Linked DNA regions of Arabidopsis thaliana. The protein of the gene in region 1 interacts with the protein of each later gene in a pairwise test. Each region holds a gene or a part of one and is shown on either strand. Other genes may lie near its edges.

What was found.
Region 2: the proteins of SCL5 (region 1) and AT5G61890 interact in a two-hybrid assay, tested with the Arabidopsis thaliana proteins (one large-scale study listed by BioGRID).

The regions. Positions count from the first base shown.
Region 1 is NC_003070.9:18,737,670-18,741,603, reverse strand, and holds the start of SCL5 (scarecrow-like 5), read left to right. Parts: upstream 1-1,954; 5' UTR 1,955-2,044; coding exon 2,045-2,258; intron 2,259-2,268; exon of another isoform or gene 2,269-2,430; intron 2,431-2,614; coding exon 2,615-3,934. UniProt on the Arabidopsis thaliana protein: Probable transcription factor involved in plant development.
Region 2 is NC_003076.8:24,852,008-24,855,941, reverse strand, and holds AT5G61890 (Integrase-type DNA-binding superfamily protein), read left to right. Parts: upstream 1-2,000; 5' UTR 2,001-2,197; coding exon 2,198-2,444; intron 2,445-2,803; coding exon 2,804-3,303; 3' UTR 3,304-3,620; downstream 3,621-3,934. Other genes in the region: BON1 (Calcium-dependent phospholipid-binding Copine family protein), read left to right, coding at 1-34; AT5G61910 (DCD (Development and Cell Death) domain protein), read left to right, coding at 1-34. UniProt on the Arabidopsis thaliana protein: Transcriptional regulator of cell proliferation and axillary bud outgrowth. Involved in maintaining the structure of the shoot apical meristem as well as plastochron and phyllotaxy.

The DNA.
Region 1 (3,934 bases):
TCTCTTAATTTTCTTTTCAAAATTCTAGTAATGAAATTATAAAGGATGACTTTGTTATTCCTAAATTATGTGACTGCGCACGATTAAGAGTTGTTATTTTCGGACAGTGTTACTCGAGGAAAGACATAAAAAAGACAAAAGACATAAACAATGATAAAATTAAACTTTATGGGGAGAAAATCAAATGTAAAAAAATGAAGAAAAAGAAAATGGAAGGTCAAAAAGTTGAATGCTGAAATTGTTCTTCTGAAAGAACGCGGAATTGGGTTAAAGAGCTTTAAAGTGTTGGTGGGCCGACACGATTGGTCGGCATGAAATCTTAAGGTGTGAACCTTTCAAGTACACATTTCTGCTGCTTATGCAGTGTCCATACTCCAATTTCGGTTCGTACTGGAAAACATACTAAAGTGGATGTATATTTGATAACAGTTTTTGTTTTTGTTTTTGAATACTAGTATTATATAAAAGAGATTTTTCCTAGTCTACTAATGTTTCAATCCAATCCATTGTAGTTATCAAACTAGTTATTTATGGGTATTCAAAGCTGATAATATGGTACTGCGGGGTAGTAGTATAATACTAAATAATTACTTACGAAATTAATAATGAAATGAGTAATTATAGAATGAATGCATATAATTAAGTGTTTTTTTTTCACAAAAGAAAGACGCCTGAATTTAATAATAAAGTGTATTAAATATTAATTCACATTTGTCGTAAATACGTGGATTGTAAAAGTGTATCAATCGTATGTATGTACCACTGGTTAAACAAATGTATGATGCATCAATAGTCAAACTAAAAAACTCGCTGATCTTTGAACACGAAGTTGAAAAAAAAGTCGAAAAAATCTCACTGATGTATGTAAAAAGAAAATATGTTGGTAAATAAAAGAAAAAATGGGAGGATAAAAAGGCAGGGAATAATCACAAACTTTTAGGCCTAAAAATGATAAGTGTTGGACCAACCCATGGCTTGCACGTTTGGTCTCATCTCGTTACTTTTGTTTTCGATCTCATCGATGTCTGCGTCTGTGCGGACCATTTTACCCTTGCCTTTTATTACTTCACTAAAAGATGAACACACGAATTATTTAGACATGCGGCACACAATTTTATTACGGTTAAGTTTACAGTTTTAAGGCGAAAATATATCGTTATGCTTTATGCTACATTAATTATGTATAGTAGTACTCCCTACCCAAAACAAAGTTACGTATAGTACTTTGATTGGCCATCGAGGACTCAAGGTTTACTAAATAGAAAGTAAAACAAAGAGATGTTTATTGCATTCGTCGTCCACACATAGAATAATCAATCATCATCATGATTTGTTTTACATTCTTAAGTTCTCGTAATTATTCGTTTCGTACGTTTTTTTAATTTTATTCCAAAGAATTTAACATTAATATTTTGAAGAACCATGTGCTACTAGCCTACTATTATACTCAATTGACAACAACCCATTTTATTTTGCTTTTGCTCGTGTTTCATTCATTTCGAACGATTGGATTTACATAAAATAGTCTATACACAAAGACAAAACAAAATCGCTTTTTTTTTTTTTTTTTTTTTCATTTTGTATACTATTATTGTGGAAAACGCAACATTTATATATCATACTATTGATCTTGCATGGTTCCATGAATTTTCTAGGTAAAAAAAGTGTGTTAATAGAACAAACAAAACTGTTAAAACATGTTGAATTACTTAATGCAATTTGACTCTGGTAAAACATGGTCAGCCACGACATTTCAACTACTCTCATTAACTCCCAAATGTTTCATCATTTAATATATGAAAATCATTATATAATACTCGTATGATTCAATTACTCAGATAATAGTGATGTAATGCATGACACTTGTTTTTGGAATTTTATTTTATTTCCAGTTATATATTACAGTTGTTTACTCGTCAGACTAATATTGACTGTTATTAGAAATAAAGGTACTTAATTCTTATTCTTTACGCGCTACAAAATAAGCAACAATGGCAAAACCGTAAAAATGAGTAGTCAAAGGGGTATTTGGTTTTAGAAAGAGATGAGGATAAAAATGAGGTTAAGCGTTTTTATTATTCCCCTGGTGGAAAGTAGGCAAGCAAGTGGTATCATCAACAAACAAAGCACTTCTCTTTTGATTCGATTCTCTCTTTACCTTGAAGCTTCAATATCAACCAAATCTTTTTTCTCAAAATCTCAAAGAATCTCTCAAACTCAGTCTCCTATCTGTCTCTCTGCAAACTATTACCAACCAGGTTAGATTCTTGATCTCAAAGTTTCCATCTTTTTATTTTATGTCGGTTGCTTTCGCTGAGTTCTGGTTTCTTTGATTTTCTTAGTTACAGAACACAACTTACTTTGTTTTTTGGTTTGGGCTGTGTTGAAAATTGAGCTTAGGGTTTTATGTAACAGTTGTCTTAGCTCATAGTTACGGTTAAAAAGCTCTCAACTTTGTCTCCCTAATGATAATTGAATTCAATCTTGTTTATGATTTTTCTCTATTGGGTCGATCTTTAACTGAATCTATCTACATAAAGATCCAACCGTTTTAAGAATCTTAGGGTTCTTATCATCTTGTTCAAAACTAAGATTCTGTTTTTTGGTGTGGCAGATAATTTAGATATGGAAGCTACTCAGAAACATATGATTCAAGAAGGATCTTCAATGTTTTACCATCAACCATCTTCAGTCAAACAAATGGACCTTTCTGTTCAGACATTTGATTCTTACTGCACACTTGAATCCTCTTCAGGCACCAAGTCTCATCCTTGTCTTAACAACAAAAACAACTCTTCTTCAACCACAAGCTTTTCCTCTAATGAAAGTCCCATTTCTCAAGCCAACAACAACAACTTATCAAGGTTTAACAATCATTCCCCTGAAGAAAACAATAACTCTCCCTTGAGCGGTTCTTCAGCGACAAACACCAACGAGACAGAGCTTAGTCTCATGCTTAAAGATTTGGAGACTGCAATGATGGAGCCTGATGTAGACAACAGCTATAACAATCAAGGCGGGTTTGGACAGCAGCATGGAGTTGTTTCTTCAGCTATGTATAGATCTATGGAGATGATCTCTAGGGGAGATTTAAAAGGAGTGCTCTATGAATGCGCAAAAGCTGTTGAAAACTATGATTTGGAAATGACTGATTGGTTGATCTCTCAGTTACAGCAAATGGTTTCTGTTTCTGGTGAGCCTGTTCAGCGCTTAGGAGCTTATATGCTTGAAGGTCTCGTTGCTAGGTTAGCTTCTTCGGGTAGCTCCATCTATAAAGCATTGAGATGCAAAGACCCAACGGGTCCTGAGCTTCTTACTTATATGCATATCTTGTATGAAGCCTGCCCTTATTTCAAATTCGGTTATGAATCTGCTAATGGAGCTATAGCTGAAGCTGTGAAGAACGAAAGTTTTGTGCACATTATCGATTTCCAGATTTCTCAAGGTGGTCAATGGGTGAGTTTGATCCGTGCTCTTGGTGCTAGACCTGGTGGACCTCCGAACGTTAGGATAACGGGAATTGATGATCCGAGATCATCGTTTGCTCGTCAAGGAGGACTTGAGTTAGTTGGACAAAGACTTGGGAAGCTAGCTGAAATGTGCGGTGTTCCGTTTGAGTTCCATGGAGCTGCTTTATGCTGCACGGAAGTCGAAATCGAGAAGCTAGGAGTTAGAAATGGAGAAGCGCTCGCGGTTAACTTCCCGCTTGTTCTTCACCACATGCCTGATGAGAGTGTAACTGTGGAGAATCACAGAGATAGATTGTTGAGATTGGTCAAACACTTGTCACCAAACGTTGTGACTCTGGTTGAGCAAGAAGCGAATACAAACACTGCGCCGTTTCTTCCCCGGTTTGTCGAGACAATGAACCATTACTTGGCAGTTTTCGAATCAATAGATGTGAAACTCGCTAGAGATCACAAGGAAAGGATCA
Region 2 (3,934 bases), on another chromosome or scaffold:
GAGAATCCGTAATATGAAACCGATTCCTCCATGAATGATCTCGTCTCGTGTGTAAATGAAGTGTGTACATATTATACATTACATAAACCACTGCGGCGGTTAAAAATCGCTGTCGTTTTGCGCGATTACATAAGCTTTTTCCATTTTTATAATAAAAATGTCTGAATGTGGGATGTAAGTTTCGAATGAAGAGGCTGATGTACACATTTGTCTTGATTTCTTTTACATCAATACTTGGAATTTGAAGATATCTGTTTTGTGCAGCTTAATTTCTTCTATTGATAGAGAATAGTGAACGTCCAACAAAAAAAAAAACATTCAAGTTACAGATGAATATTGTTTTGCATTTTCAACTAATGATTTGACATATGGAGAAAGTGTCCAAAAAGTAAAAGGTAAAGACTGTTATATCAATTATGTAAGAGACTGATAATAACCATAGAATTCCCAAAAACAATTTTTTGTAGATTTTTTTTTTATAGTTGTTATTTTGTTAATTTAATATATTTTTAAACATGTGTATCATATATATCAGAATCATTTCTTAAAAACTAAAACAATGATTTTTTTTTCTTAATGAATATTGCATTATTTGCGGATAATTGAAAATAATAAAATTATGTTATCAAAATGTTGAAAACGTGAACAAATGGCTATTGATCACACTATAAATTTTCCGTCAAATAAATGAATAGTTAGGTATCACATGTGATCTAAGATTTAGATGAGGGTGTCCAAAGTGAAGACCAAATACATTTAACAGTAAAGCTACAGTTTAGAGAAATTTTGATCATAAACATAAATAAACAGCTGGTTAGGGAAGTGGTAGTTGAACCTAACACCAACGCAGTACACACATGATCGATCAAGTTAGTCAAACTGGCTGTGGATTACATTTACAAGTCTTACATTATTATATCCGTACTTGTCACACATTGTACATAATTTCTTTACCTGTCAACTTAGTTAGCTCTTGACTTTTTTGAGTGAATAATTTTTCAAATGTCAAATTTTTTACATACAAGCCTATAATATGTAGATAGGCAAGAGCTCCATTGAGTAAAAATTAAATACCTCCTTTCGGACGTAGAAACGTGTACACAACCCTAACACTTGCAATTTAAACAATTTCTACAAAATGTAACACTAACCATTTAATCAATTTCATCATACTACGACATAGAACAATAATCACTTTGTTTAACTCAATTCGAGTGTGTACACGATACTTGGATTTAGAGGTTTTTAAAACGTCTTTTGTGTTGCAAATTTTAGTCAACCAGTCTTTAAATAAATTAATAGGTTCACTTCTTACGTACGCAAACTCATATTTCCTTTTTAATTCACGTTTGGATCCACAACAAGGGTGTCGGTTTACATTATATTATAGATTTTCTTAATACCTTTTTCTTGAGAATGCAGGTCGATTTTTGACGAAAAAAACAATGTGTCGGTTTAAATTACATATACAACTAAGACCACGACAGTGCTTTTTATAGTTTAAATTATAATTTAGACAAAAAACACTATTAGTCTATATCTTTCCCTCAATTCCATGAATGTGTTAAACCCTTTTCACACAAAATAAATGATTAAACAAAACATGAACATGCATGCGCAATTTTCCTCTCTTCTTTATTTTATTCTTTTCACTTTTGCATGTTTAGTTTTCCCATCTCGTGTAGTATTTTATAGTAATCTTTATAAAATATCCTCTCTTTTGATATTTAAATACACATGCACTTTCCTCAATAAGAAAAGTTTAACAAACATTCTCATTATACATGCCTTCATTACAAAACATTGATCCGTACTGGTCGTACAAGCATATTTTTTAAATACGATAACAGAAACAAACACATATAAGAAATTATTAAATACGAAAGAATGTGAAAAAAAAAAAAAAAATCAAACTTAAAACATATTTGTTTTAGGTCATATGTTCACACGTAGAACGAATTCCTCTATAAAAGCCTCAGAAAATTGCTAAACCCCCCCAAAAAAATACTTTACTCTCTCTTTCTTCATTTACTTCAATCTAATTTCTTCTCCTTATCATCCTCTTGTTCTTGATGTTCAACGATGCCATAAAGAAAAACTGAACAACCCTAAAGTACTGTATAAATCCTATATCAAATTTTTTTTTTGGAAGAAAAGGCTATATTTAAAAGAAAATCAAGCAAAAGTAGATCCTCGGATGTATGGGAAGAGGCCTTTTGGAGGTGATGAATCTGAAGAAAGGGAAGAAGATGAGAACTTGTTCCCGGTCTTCTCGGCCCGATCTCAACACGACATGCGTGTTATGGTCTCGGCCTTGACTCAAGTAATCGGAAACCAACAAAGCAAATCTCATGATAACATCAGCTCTATTGATGATAACTATCCTTCTGTGTATAATCCACAAGACCCTAATCAACAAGTTGCGCCTACTCATCAAGACCAAGGTATATATATACATGCTCATATCGATCTTTGAATCTTTTTTGGTTGAAACAATGTTAGGATATATTGAAATTATGTGCAAATTTCATATCAGAAGTAAATCTCAAACTTAAAAGGTTATTATTATACTGTTTATTTCAATACTCATTTACCAAAAGAAAAAACGATTAGGCTATTACCAAAATGTAATTTTTAACATGGAGATTTTGTTGGTAGTATATGGTTTCAGCACCAATATTAGGTGACGATATATATTTATACACATAAACTATGAGCATATACAAAGTTTACATACTATGCACATGTATGAGTAGACCATACCAAAGATTTTCTGATTTCAACTTTTGTGATTTCAATAAAGGGGACTTGAGGAGGAGACATTATAGAGGTGTAAGGCAAAGGCCATGGGGAAAGTGGGCAGCTGAAATCCGAGACCCAAAAAAGGCGGCACGTGTGTGGCTCGGGACATTTGAAACCGCTGAATCTGCGGCCTTAGCTTATGATGAAGCAGCCCTAAAGTTCAAAGGAAGCAAAGCAAAACTCAATTTCCCGGAGAGGGTTCAGCTTGGAAGTAACTCTACATATTACTCCTCCAACCAAATTCCACAAATGGAACCACAAAGTATACCGAACTATAATCAATACTATCATGATGCGAGTAGTGGTGATATGCTAAGTTTTAATTTGGGCGGTGGGTATGGGAGTGGTACCGGATATTCAATGTCTCATGATAATAGTACTACGACTGCTGCTACAACTTCTTCGTCTTCTGGTGGCTCTTCTAGGCAACAAGAAGAGCAAGATTATGCCAGATTCTGGCGCTTTGGGGATTCTTCTTCCTCTCCTCATTCGGGATATTAATTAGGAGATTTGATCAGTTACTTGTGATGAAGTAATGATACATTTCCCGTCAAAATTGAGATGATCATATGCTTCCTGAATGTTTTTGAGTGTCATTTTTGTCTTCCGCGTTAAGATTTATTGAACGTGTTTTCTTGTTTTTTTGGTTAATATCTTGGAGGTTTTTGGCTCCTACATACATGACAACATAACATCACCGATTCGAACTTCAACGCACGATAAAATGCATTAGATAGTTGATATACATTATACAGATTGCAAATATAGAGTATCGATTATGGTGCAATTAAATACCATAAAGAAAACTACGTTCCGTTGATGTTTGACCAGTCTTTAACGCAATACTAATGTAGTCTACTTTCATACCATCGATAGTGTAATATTTAGTTGACTTTAAAAGTCTTTCTAAATCAGCATTAATTGTAGTGTGTGGATCACGAAATTCGGCGGTCGACAATTCGACATAAAATATATAAAAAGCTTCATTCTCGTTTGGATCGGCTTAGACGTGTAATAGACATCGATTCAACTTTGCTAAACGCTCTTAAACCCACTTGAAGTCTTGGACTTGGACTTCAAAGTCAGACACCACTTGGTTTAGTAGCTACTAGCTAGTGCAACTCTATCAATT